3 linked regions of the Callithrix jacchus genome follow. The protein of the gene in region 1 interacts with the protein of each later gene in a biochemical or structural test. Links are inferred from orthologs where the notes say so. Each region holds a gene or a part of one and is shown in the gene's direction. Other genes may lie near its edges.

The links. The genes of interacting proteins can lie anywhere in the genome.
Region 2: the proteins of PICK1 (region 1) and PRKN form a complex in vitro, tested with the Homo sapiens proteins (3 studies listed by BioGRID and IntAct, with this or other methods). The link is inferred for Callithrix jacchus from reciprocal best matches to the Homo sapiens genes PICK1 and PRKN.
Region 3: the proteins of PICK1 (region 1) and GRM7 form a complex in vitro, tested with the Homo sapiens proteins (2 studies listed by BioGRID, with this or other methods). The link is inferred for Callithrix jacchus from reciprocal best matches to the Homo sapiens genes PICK1 and GRM7.

Annotation. Positions count from the first base shown.
Region 1 is NC_133502.1:209,055,469-209,059,876, forward strand, and holds the start of PICK1 (PRKCA-binding protein), read left to right. Parts: upstream 1-1,483; 5' UTR 1,484-1,645; coding exon 1,646-1,768; intron 1,769-2,574; exon of another isoform or gene 2,575-2,760; intron 2,761-2,923; coding exon 2,924-3,027; intron 3,028-4,408. UniProt on the Homo sapiens protein: Probable adapter protein that bind to and organize the subcellular localization of a variety of membrane proteins containing some PDZ recognition sequence.
Region 2 is NC_133505.1:169,264,512-169,268,780, reverse strand, and holds the start of PRKN (E3 ubiquitin-protein ligase parkin), read left to right. Parts: upstream 1-1,414; 5' UTR 1,415-1,512; coding exon of another isoform or gene 1,513-1,519; intron 1,520-4,269. Other genes in the region: PACRG (parkin coregulated gene protein), read right to left, coding at 784-939. UniProt on the Homo sapiens protein: Functions within a multiprotein E3 ubiquitin ligase complex, catalyzing the covalent attachment of ubiquitin moieties onto substrate proteins. Substrates include SYT11 and VDAC1.
Region 3 is NC_133516.1:63,898,854-63,902,930, forward strand, and holds the start of GRM7 (metabotropic glutamate receptor 7), read left to right. Parts: upstream 1-1,222; 5' UTR 1,223-1,494; coding exon 1,495-2,013; intron 2,014-2,171; exon of another isoform or gene 2,172-2,272; intron 2,273-2,585; exon of another isoform or gene 2,586-2,789; intron 2,790-2,893; exon of another isoform or gene 2,894-3,116; intron 3,117-4,077. UniProt on the Homo sapiens protein: G-protein coupled receptor activated by glutamate that regulates axon outgrowth through the MAPK-cAMP-PKA signaling pathway during neuronal development.

The DNA of each region.
Region 1 (4,408 bases):
TAGGCCAGGTGCAGTGGCTTACTCCTGTAATCCCAGCACTTTGGGAGGCCGTGTTGGGCAGATCACGAGGTCAGGAGTTCAAGACCAGCCTGGTCAACATGGTGAAACCTCGTCTCTACTAAAGATACAAAAAATTAGCCAGGTGTGGTGGTGGGCGCCTATCGCCCCAGCCTCTCGGGAGGCTGAGGCAGGAGAATCACTTGAATCCAGGAAGCAGAGGTTACAGTGAGCCAAGATCTCGCCATTTGCACTCCAGCCTGGGCAATAAGAGCGAGGCTCCATCTTAAAAAAAAAAAAAAAAATAGCTGAGTGTGGTGGCAGGTGCCCGTAGTCCCAGCTACTCAGGAGGCTGAGGCAGAAGAATCGCTTTACCCAAGAGGCAAAGGTTGCAGTGAGCCGAGATTGTGCCACTGCACTTCAGCCTGGGCGAAAGAGCAAGACTCTGTCTCAAAAAAAAGAAAAAGTAGAGAAAGAGAACACAATAAAAAGAGGGACAGGGAGAAGCAGTTTATAATTTGTCAAGTTACGAGATCTGAGCCCCAAATTTAAGGGAGAAAAAGCCTTTCCAGACAAAACACAGACATGCAATAAATTACTCATCGCAGAATTGGCGCAGGAAAACCATGGAGCGATCTCACGAGGCCAAGTCATAGCAAACTGCTGAATGAATGATTCAGAGAGCAAATACTCAGGAGCTCAGAAAGGGAGCAACATATATGAGCTAAGCTTGTCTGCTGACACTGCCGGGAGGAGGCAAATTAGATCGGGGCCTGGAGGTAAGGGATGGATGAAGCAGAAAAAAGGGGCATCTTGCCCCCACCTGGGAAGAGGGGCCAGAGTGGGTAGGGGGTTTTGAGGTCAGAGTGACAGCTGTGCCATGCAAATTGTTTACAAAGCACTCATACCTGTTTCTCCTTTTAATCTTTTTTGTTGTTGTTGTTGAGATGGAGTCTCGCTCTATCACCCAGGCTGGAGTGCAGTGGTGAAATCTTGGCTCACCGCAACTCCTGCTATCCAGGGTTCAAGCGATTCTCCTGCCTCAACCTCCTGAGTAGCTGGGATTACAGAAGCGTGCCACCATGCCCAGCTAATTTTTGTGTTGTTAGTAGAGACAGGGTTTCTCCATGTTGGTCAGGCTGGTCTTGAATTCCTGACCTCAGATGATCTGTGTGCCTGGGCCTCCTGAAGTGCTGACATTACAGGTATGAGCCGCCATGCCTGGCCTTAGACTGTTGCTTTTTAAAACCAAAAGTCTGGCCTGGAAACAGAGCTTGGTTGTCCCAGCCCTAGTCTTGCCACTAGGATACCAGAGGAAGAGACTTCTCTGGGCCTTAGTTTCCTTGCCTGCACACTGTGGCTGGCAAGACTTGGTCTCTCCTCACAGGGTGGTGGTGAGCTTGAAAATCCTGTGAAAGTGATCTGACTGGAGAGCAGTGGACACGTGGGAAGGCTGTTGCTATCACGGCATTCTACACATCTGTCCAGACTCAGATTAGCTCCCTAAGGAGAGAGTAGGGTGGGGCTTCCATCGCCCGTGGGATATGTGGATATCCATCCTTCTGCATCTTTCCTCTGTGGCCCCTGGGGCAGCTAGGGAAGCCAGCTGGATGGCCCTGGCCCCGTGCTGTCGGGATGAGGTGGAGGCATGGCTGTGGCTCTGGGAGATCCAGCCTCCCGCAGGGAATCCACTTTACACAATAGCAGTGGCAGCAGAGGCTGGAGAGAAAGCTTCGACAGGGGAGCACTGATGACGTTTCCCGAGCCTCAGGTACATGGGGGCTGTGACCCTCCGTGGGACCCCAGGGTGGCTGCTCCTCAGGACTAAGGAAGGAGATGGGGGGGGTGAGAAATGTTTCACCATATACCATAGAAAGCATTGACCATATGGCCTTAGTTTACATATGGGGAAACTCAAGCACATAGAGGGAAGGGGGCATGTCCAATCTTAATAGCAAGATCCACTGAATACACCACTCCCGGCTCTCTGCTTAGTGTTCGGATGTTCAAAGATCCCTAGACTAGACTAGGCGGCGGGAGTTTCGAGGCCACAGTCCAGATATTATACCAACTGCGTGTGGCTCTGCACAAAATCACTGCCGGCTCTTTGGCACTTAAGTTTCCTCGCCTGCGAAACTGGGATGCGCTGGGACCTCAAAGGGCCTTTCTAGTAGGGGAGTCACAGGCCCAGGTGGTTAAGGGGTGAAAGGGCAGGTCTCGGGGTTTATACTCCACTGAGCCTCGCGGGAGGTAACCCCAGCTCAGAGATGCTTCCGTTGCCCTGGCAACCGCCACCCGGCGCGGGTCCCTGAGTGCCGCTGAGGAAGCTGGGACAAACCCTGCCCTTCCCAAGATGGCGGCGGCGTCAGGGCAAAGGGCGGGGTTAGACGCTGTCAGCCTGTCCAGACTTTTCCTCTGTTTCCGCTTGTTCCTACTAACAGCGAGCCTCTGCCAATACTTGTTCTTGTTCTTGGTTCCGAGAGTCCCGGGAGCGGGTGAGGGAAGGATTGTCTGCAGGGATTGGGGCAAACACCCAGCGGGGAAAGGGCGGGACTTCCGCGTCTTACTGGAAGTGACGTGATAGTCGCGGCCACCGCCAGGTGGAACGGCAGGTGGGTTCAGGTACCAGCCTGGCCCGAACCCGGCTCTGGGACTGACGCTTCCGGTGAGCAACAGAGGCAGCTCCCCAGGACCTGGAGACCCTTGGGCCGGGCTCTGGGATCTGAGCCCATCATCCTGGCCTTGAGTCCCCCCTTGTACCTAGTAAGAATCACCTACCCAGCCCCCCCTACCCGGAGATTGCCCCATCCCACTCCAGAGGGGAAGAAGAGGGCCCTGCTGTCCCGTATGAGGGTGGTGGAGGAAGGGGTGGTGTTGACATTCAGGCACTTCGGTTCCCTAAATCCTATGTTCCTTTCTCTCCCAGATCCAGTCCCCTATTCCCCTACCGAGCTGGGCAGTTAGCCCGCCTGCTCCAACTCTCGGAACCATGTTTGCAGACTTGGATTATGACATCGAGGAGGATAAACTGTGAGTATTTTATTCCCCCAAGTTCCAGGAGCATGGGAACCCCAAGTCCCTTATTTCCCTGGACTTGCCAGTCCCACAAACCCTTGCGTCTCAGCGGTGGAGCAGGTGTTGTGCTGAAGCAGCAGTGCACCCTGCTCTTCCAGGAGCTCACTATTTGTAGGGGACTATGGACAGTTAAAGGGATAATCACAGCTCGGTTCCATAAGGGCACTATTAGCATGACTTGGTGACAAGGAGAGAAAGCAGATGGAGCAGTGCTTCCGCTGGGGTGATCAAGGAAAGCTTCATGGAGAAGGTGGCAGTTGAGCCAGGTTTTGAAGGTTGGATAGGAATGTTGTAGACATACCTTCCTTCCCAACATAGGTTATTAGTAGATTTTCAGAAATTAGATTTGTCTTCCCATTACAATGTATCCTCTTTCGGATCAAGGAGTGAGTGCAATGCCTTTCTCTGCGCTCAGCGCTTAGTAAGGGGCTTGATGTCAGTAGGTTGGTAGCAAATGTTTTTTGAATGAATAAGTGAATCAGCGCAAGTACTTACCATGAAACACCAGTCAATGCTAGTTTATAGTGGAAACTGAGAGGTAATGAGGAGGTGGGAGGTGGATAGTTAACTCCTTCAGCAGGTAGCCGTCAGATTCCCTAGATGCCTGATAAGGTGACAAGGACAGAACCTGTCTCAAATCGCAGAGATCGAATGAATGAAAGGGAAGGGGGACCTATTTTTATGGAGTGCCTGCTGTGGATTGGGTTGCTGTTAGTGGCCTCCATGCATGGTTAGAAGAACTTGGATAAGGGTGCTCATCCCCATTTTATGGATGAGGAAATTGAGATGCACAGAGGGTAACTTACCCAAGTTCCATAGCTGGCCAGGTGCAGTGGCTCACACCTGTAATCCCAGCACTTTGGGAGGGCAAGGTGGATGTATCACCTGAGGTCAGGAGTTTGGGACCATCCTGACCAACGTGGTGAAACCCCGTCTTTAAAAAAAATAATAATGATAAAACAATACAAAAAATTGGCCGGGCGTGGTGGTGGGCACCTGTGACTGTCATCCCAGATATTTGGGAGGCTGAGGCAGGAGAATTGCTTGAACCGGTGAGTCAGAGGTTACAGTGAGCCAAGGTAGTGCCATAGCACTCCAGCCTGGGGAACAAGACCAAAACTCCGTCTCAAAAAAAAAAAAAAGAGGAAAAAAATAAAACCAAGTCCCATAGCTGATAAATGGCAGATTTGACGGGGTTTGATCCCACATCTGCAGAACTCCAAGAACTGTGCATGTTTCAGCACAGAGTGCTATTGTTTTATCCAAGGGAGGGAGAGAAAAAGCTGGGCAGCCAATGGAGCCCCTCAGGAGTTTTGAGGGGCCCACCCCCTCCAGT
Region 2 (4,269 bases), on another chromosome or scaffold:
AATCTGGCTCAGCATACCAAGTGTAAAGCTATTTAAAAAATAGGAAGGTTTTTAAAAAATACACTATCATGTATATAGCTAAAATATCTGTATGTATTTTTAATCTTTTTTCTCTAATGATATCTAAGATATTTTATTTTTATTACTACAAATAATAGAGACAAATTTGAATTGTATTAGTAGCAGAGATAAATGAGCTAAAGCTTGTATTGTTTAAAGCACATCATCTAAAAAGGCCTATCAGGAAACAGTGTTCATATTAAGTTGGCTTCCAGTACTCTAACAAGCTGACATCATTTTGTAAGAGCCAAGTGTAAAAGTAAATGCTAGGGTATTCTAAAATTTCCTAGGTTGAAGAGAAGAAATTTCTTATTATAGATTACTTGAGTTTATATCAGCTCAGTTGTATATCAGCTCATGTTAAATTTTGCAAGAGTTTATGATTTCTAAGAACTCACCTACTATAAGGCTCTTCGCTGAGTAGGGATAGTTAGGAATTAGTAAGTAAGGGGGATTTTTTTCCTGGTGTAAATAGCGCAAACTGTGAGCTATCGGGGAGGTGCTTATAAATGGGCAGAGTACATCATTTGCCCAAGATTCTAACAACTTAGCCTGCCCTCCACACGCTGTGGGATACCGTCTGCTACTTGCCAAGTAATTGCCATTTTTGGCAAAGACCACCCAGGGCTTGGGCTCAGAGTCCATCCTATGGCTGGCCAACCTCTGTAAATCTCGTGTCCCCTGATTCGGAGCAAGTGCATTTAATTCAGGAAGATCACTTACGACTGAGTTTTTCATCATGGCTTTGACTGTGAAGCCCTCAGAAACCAGGGAGTGAGGCTGGTGCACCGGGAGAGGCTGTTGTGCCAGCAGCTTAGTCCTCTTCGGCATCTTGTCTGGGCATTTGTTTAAGCTCAGGGTCTCTTTTTCTGCCACCATCTTCCTAGAAAATATCTTGTTCTCATAAAAAGTGTAGTAAAAGAATCAGTGGATTTTACGGATGTGAGCAGGAGGTCGGGAAAAAAATGTCAAAAGGCGCGTTAATGGTAGAAATTCAACCCTTTGTAGTGCCCAGGTTGATCCAGATGTTTGGCAGCTCCTTGGTGAAGGGAGTTTAGGGGAGGGGCGGGGCGGGAAGAGGGCAGGACCGTGGCTAGAGCTGCAACAAGCTTCCAAAGGTAAGCCTCCCGGTTGCTAAGCGACTGGTCAACACTGTGGGCGCAGGGCTCTGCCCGCCTCCCCTGTGACGTAAGCTTCCTGGGCCTGAAGCCGGAAAGGGCGGTGGTAGGGACGTGGGGAGGAGACGTGAGAAGAAACTACGCATTAAAACTACGACTCCCAGCAGGCCCAGGGCCGCGTACCGTCCGCGCGTGCGCATTGTTAGGGCCGGGCGCGGGGGCGGGGAGGCCTGGACGATTTAACTCGGGAGAGCCGCTGGTGGCAGGTGCGGGCGGTTGCCCGTGCGAGCGTAGGCCCCCTGTCTGTCGCGCAACAGCCACCTGCCCAGTGACCATGCTAGGTACGTGGGTGCCTGCCAGGTACAGCCTCTCTGCGCCGCCCCGCGTCCCGGTTCGGCGCCACGCCCCGCCTCGGCCGACCGGACCCCCGTTGCCAACTGTCAATGACGGAGCCAAAGTGCCCGTGCCTACCCCGGCCCACGCCGCTGGGCTCCCCAGTTCACTGACGCCGGCCTGGGGCCCCAATGTGTGTGTTCCAAGCGCCCCCCGTCCTCTCCCGCTCTGAGCGTTACCGAGAAGACAGCCTCGCCGGGGACGCCAGTCGGCCCCGCATCCCCTCTCCTCGCTCGCGGTCCCTCGGACCGTGCGGGGTCCCGAAGCCCTCGCTCCGCCGCCGTCCCCCCTCGCCTTCCTCCATCCCCTGGCCGGCGGTGGTCGTGCGGTTCAGTACCCATCGAGACCCACTCTCTGTGGGGCTCTTTCAGGAAACCCCAGCAAAGCATTAAACTCTAATGGAAGGCACCTGGTGAGGATGGTTGGGCTCCACAGAAACTCCTCCAGATGGATCTAAACTTCTTGCCCCTTCGAATGTTTCCTTTTCAACCTCTCGTTGAAGGTCTGAGGTGAAAGAAAAATTAAGAGTAAATAATTGCCGAGATTACATCTTCTGCCTTTTGCAAAATTACGATTTTTTTGGTAAAACCCGGAATGACCGAGCTGCAATTTTGTAAACGAAACTTGGTGGCTATCAGAGTTGTTCATGAACACTTGAAGTGTGAGATGAGCAAAGGTCCTGTCTTCCAGGGTTGTTAAGGCAAAAGTTACTTTAGGGGCTAACCCTGAACATTAATGGAAATGCACCATATGTTTAGAAAACAATGCTATGTGAGATGTCCTTATTATGGAGGTTTCTCCACGTAATGTATGGAGGGTTTGGTGAGCTCGTTTAGGGCTAATTCCTGAGGAGTGTCACTTACAAAACACTTTGGATTGCAGTAAGTACTTTCGGAGTCCGATGCGGTCTGTCCAGAAGAAAGATGAAAGGTGGATTTATAAAATATTAATCTTTATGCACTGAAAATACTTCTCATATCTGCTTTTGTTTATGAAGTTATTGTTAAAATGTAAACATGCTACCCATTAGTGGGAGACTCAGGTCAGGTAACTGGCATTGTCTTTGTCTCTGTGGTAAAACAAGAATGTTCTTCAGCTTTTCTTCCCTTTCTATCATGGTCTGACTTTTGGTGAATGACTTGAAGGTTATCAAATTATGAAAAAATTACAAATTTTATGAGTTTTCCTGAGCTCTTTTTAGGTGACGTCTACGTCAGATTGACTTGTAATCACAAATCTGAACTGAATCAGAAAACCAAGTAGAAGAGGTTTTCCAGAATCCGTGCTGTCAGTAGTCTACGGGAAGAAAATAGCCTGTCTTATTTTGAAGACAGTTAAACACATTTTATTTTAATTCAACTTAATCTAGTGCACAAATAATTTTAAGAGAAACAACCTTATTGTAAAGCTATATGAAGACAGGCACTTAAAATCTAAAGAACATTACCCAGTTATAAATTATTACCTAATAAGTTATATAAATAACTTTATTAGGATGAAATATGTTTGGGCAGTTCTGTTTAGTTTTATCTGGAATTCTTCTTCCAAGAAGGAAGAAATACGATCTTTGGAGCTGATGATTCAACAGTTATCAATTACCAGTAATGACTTGGAGACTAGAAGGTTGGTTTTAAAAAAGTTTTCTCCGACTCCAGCTGTTGCTTTAAATAGTGCAAGTAAGTGTGCATTAGAACATAAATGACTAAATCCATGCCTGCCTTCCTTAGGAAATGTACATTACATAAGAAATTGTGGACAGTGTGCAATACATTATTTTATTCAACTAATTGCATTGCCTAATTCTGAAATTAGACACCCGTCCCTCTTTTTTTTTTCTTTCTTTTCTTGAGACGGTCTGGCTCTGTCACCCAGGCTGGAGTGCAGTGGCACCATCACAGCTCACTGCAACCTCCAATTCCTGGGCTCAAGTCATCCTCCCGTCTTAGCCTCCTGAGTTGCTGTGACTACAAGTGTGTGCCATGCCTGCCAATTTTTAAGTTTTTGTAGAGATGGAGTTTCATTGTGTTGCCCAGGCTGGTCTCAAACTCATGGGTTCAAGCAGTTCTCCTGCCTGGGCCTTCAAAATGCTGGGAGTACAGGCGTGAGCCACTGCACCCAGCCTCATTAGACACATTTCAATAAACATCTGAATGGCCGGTTTGGGATTTAGGTGTGGAGAACAGTGCTAAAGGTAGGTGAAAGTGACAATGATTAAAAGGAAGCCCTGGAGTGATGGATTTTGTGTGTTTGTGAAGATAATTCAGAGCCAGCAAAGACAATGTAGACTTTACCCAGTGATCAGTTGGAGATCAAAATCTAAATAGTATGTATCTGTGATTGTTTTTCTGTTAAAGGTAAGAGCTTTCTTGAAGCTTGCTCCTTTCAGATCTACATTTTCTCTAAGTGCTAAACTCGCCTTAATGCAAATAATACTCTTCCACTTTATTTAAATTCTGGCTTACTTTAAGGTGAAACATAAAGATGCATTTCCTGGTAGAATAGGAATAAACAGGACTGACTGTGACCTCACTGCTAATGAAATGTACCTTCTGTTGACTTTCTCAAAACCAAAGATTTTCTTCTTGGCATGAAGACTGTTTCAAAAATACTTACATTTCCCACGTGGATTATGATTGATACACTGAATATTCTGATCCAGGCAGCTACAGAAACATAATTTAGTTAAAGTCTGTTAAAA
Region 3 (4,077 bases), on another chromosome or scaffold:
CGCCCTAATGTCTGTATAATATGATTTTGCAGCTCTCCAACAGAAAGCCTCAGCAAGAGTTGGTTTAACTTCCTCAAGTCCACTCCCATCCCCAAGGACAGAGACAATCACTTTCCTTGTATTGGAAGTAGAGCCACTTGTTGCTTTAATAGGCCAAATGTGTCTGGACCTGCAGGAGGAGGCACCTTTCATAAAGAGCTTCTCAATTGCACTGCAACCTGTTCTGGCATCCTGACATTGTCCCTAAACCCCAGCCAGTGAAAGAGAAAGGCATTCTCAATCTATGGGGACACTTCTGCCTGCCCCCTTTCTTATTCCTGCCATCATCTCTTTCCTGCAGTTTCTTACAGGCAAAAACTGTCACCAGGTGCACCAGATACATCTCTAGAAACAGGAGGGAGCCTTACACCTGTCAGTACTAGAGAAGAAAATAGACTCTGTGGAGTTCTCAGTTGTTCCATCTCTGCAAAGAAGAAAAGAGAAGGGATGCGTCCGAGGTTTCCGACACAGAAGTGCTGGGGAAATGCGTCAGTTCACAGAGCTCTGACTCTAGTGACCACTGAAGACCAAGGATGCACTCCCATGCCTGGTGTCTCCCCTTGGCTTCTGTTTCCTTGCAGCCAAGCTCAGCGCCTGGCCCTGGAGACCCCTTTGGGTAAAGTGTCTTTAAGTCGTGAATCAGGCTCTTGTGTGCATGTGTGGCTTTCTTAGCAAAAACTAGCACAGGCGGCTCAGGAGTAGAGCCTAGCTAGGGTCTTCCCACGCCCCTCCCTCACTGGCTTCTCTGCCTCTCCCTGGGGTTTTCCCAGAGCTAAGAGCCTAGGCTCCGGACCTAGGGTTTGGGAGCAGTCAGCCCAACGTCCTCGCCCTATCCCGCGGCTGATGACACCCATGCCCAGAACGCCTGGGTGTGGGTGCAGGCGGGCAAGAGGCTTCCACAGTGAGTTGGGGGCCAGAGCCCAGCTCGCAATCCCTAGATTCCCTGGGGACCACGAAACTCCCATTCTGAGGAAACCTCCCCCCATTCCCCAGCCGCCCACCCATTTTCCCCCCTTACCTCAGCACGCAGCCCCTCCCTGCGTGATGATGCAAACCAGTGGGGAGGGCGGGCGCTGGGAAGGGTGGGGAGAGAAGCGAGCCAGCGAGGGAGGGAGGGAGTGGGAGGAGGAGGAGAGGGAGCCGAACGACCATTTAAAGCGATAGCAATCCCTGCCCTCTCCCCAGTGCTGGGCTGTAGGAGAGAGCGAGCTGCACGCTGGTGAGCGCGAGCGCGGCGTGCTGGCCGGCGAACCAGAGAGCGCGAGGAGCCCCAGGCTGGCAGGCGCCTCGGGACCCCTCACCCTCTCTGGTCGCCCCTCCCCCGACTCCCCCACCCTTCGTGCCTGGAGGAGCCCCTGGGCTTTCCCGGAGGAGCAAACCCAGAGGGGCCCGGACCTCGGCGATCCCACAACCGTCCCCTCCAGCGGCTGCCGCCACCGCAGCAGCCAGAGCAGCATGGTCCAGCTGAGGAAGCTGCTCCGCGTCCTGACTTTGATGAAGTTCCCCTGCTGCGTGCTGGAGGTGCTCCTGTGCGCGCTGGCGGCAGCAGCACGCGGCCAGGAGATGTACGCCCCGCACTCAATCCGGATCGAGGGGGACGTCACCCTTGGGGGGCTGTTCCCCGTGCACGCCAAGGGTCCCAGCGGAGTGCCCTGCGGCGACATCAAGAGGGAGAACGGGATCCACAGGCTGGAAGCGATGCTCTACGCCCTGGACCAGATCAACAGTGATCCTAACCTACTGCCCAACGTGACGCTGGGCGCGCGGATCCTGGACACTTGTTCCAGGGACACTTATGCGCTCGAACAGTCGCTCACTTTCGTCCAGGCGCTCATCCAGAAGGACACCTCCGACGTGCGCTGCACCAACGGTGAACCCCCGGTTTTCGTCAAGCCGGAGAAAGTAGTTGGAGTGATTGGGGCTTCGGGGAGTTCGGTCTCCATCATGGTAGCCAACATCCTGAGGCTCTTCCAGGTAGGGGGGCGCTCCCTCCGGGGCGGAGCACGCCGTGGCTACCTGCGCCCTTAACCCTAAAAGCTCACTTGGACTCCGGTGGTTCGGTCAGGTCAGCCTTCACTCATTTCCACCCTGGAGATCCTGCCGAATCCCTCCCACCCTGCCCAAGGAGATACCTTCCCTGCTTGGTTTATTTCCCTTCCATCTCTCCCCTGTCCACGCTCCACTCCATCCGGCTTGACATCCTGGATTTATGGCCCCATTTACAAGAAGCAATCTGCGAAAAACAAGGCGATGATTTAAATGGGTTTGCATTAGAGTGAAATATGGTGCGAAAGCAGGCTTGTGAAAGTGCCAGGCTCCTAGGAGAGCTAGTAAAGAGGAATGGAATAGGAAAGATGAGAAGATGCCTGGAAACCCGGCATTTCTCAACTCCCCTGCTTCCCACCGTCCCCAAGTCATCCTGCAAACGTGCACTCCCCTGGAAAATTTGGAGACGATCTTAAGGAGGCACTTCTTAAATCCAGGGCTTGGTCTTTAACCTAGAAGTGGATATTAAGTCCCCACCTCCCTTGGGTTGATTTCCTGACCTGTAGCCAGCCTCGGCAAGAGCCAAGGTCCTAAGGTGCTGGGACCTTCTTCAGGTGGAGAGATGCTGCCCGCAGACGTGACCCTCAGTTGGTTTGCTCCCGGCAATTTTTTGCACCGTCTAAATTGCAATTGCAATCCAGCCACTGGCCGGAGCTGGGCGATCAGCTTTCCACTCCTGCCACTTCAGACCTCAGCCCAGAGATGAGCTCATACTAACTGCGAAACAAATAGCTCTCCCTGCCTCCTCCCTTCGCCCCCCCTCCACCCACCCACCACCTCCCTGGTGCAGACCCCAAGCCAAATTCTCGGTTTGGAGGAGGATTCCCGGAGCAAGGCACGAAGGCGCCCGTTGGGAGGCAGAGAGGTGCCTGGAGCAGGGCCCCCTGGTCCTCCCGCTCCAGTGCCGGAGGGCGACTAAGAAAAAATGGGAGGAAGGTGGATCCGGGGCCGCTGAGCGGTGGGTTCTACCGCAGTGTTCTCTTGCCACCTACTCCCACAGCCTCTGCCCCTTGGCTCCCGATCTGCATTGGGTAGGAATGAGTGGCTTTGGGGTTTGGAAATTGAGTTTCAGGGTCTCTGTGATTGTAGGTTCCCTCTTCTGTGTCTCCCTATATGTGCATCACTCTCTCTTTCTGTCTCTGTCTCCTTTGCTGTTTTTTTCCCCTCCCTTTCAATCTTTGCCTCCTTTTCCCCTCTGTCTTCATTCCCAAGTTCTTGGTTCATCTCAGTATTAATATGACCCTTTCCCAATGCCTAGCGGCTCTCTCCCTGCCTGGTGGTACCTAAACCCAGCTAATCTCTTCCTCAGATGTACACATTGATCCTGGCACCTTTATGCTCCTCATATGTAGAGAACCGGCCCCTCTCAAGTGCTTTCCGGAAAGGTGTTGGGTTTCAGAAGGGGACACTGTGAGACCCAGGGCTGTCACCACATCACCTCCAGGAGTGTGAAGTTTGCATTCAGGAGGAGTGCTTATCCTAGGCTGCAGCTTGCATGGCCCCTCTGAACCTCTGAGCATCCCTGACACTTTCTTTGTGCTATCATGGAGATCCTTAAAGGATTGAAAACCAAAAGTGCTTTGGGGCTAGCCATCACTTTGAGTTCCTTGCTCTAAGGAAGAACTTGATTTGTAGCTGAAACCCAGAGTGCTTACTTCATCTTTGAGCTTAAAGCTAGACAAGTTAAGGTAGTAGTGCAGTGGGAGAGGATGAGGTCAGAGACCTTACCTGAGAACCACTGGGGGCTGGGGGAAGTTACAGTGTTTTCCCTGTTAGCCCCTGGGGTTAAAGGCACAAATGTTTTGTGTTTAGAATTTTTAAATTATTTTACTGCCTGTATCTTTACTTACCATTGGCAGTACTGCAGATGAGTCTGTCTCTGTCTGAAAAAAAATAGTGAAATGTTAAAGTCAAGAAAGGGATTGCAGATTAGGCTGAGGGACTGTGTTTGCTGAAAAAGATTCCAGGAGGAGCTGATTCCTCCTGTTGTAT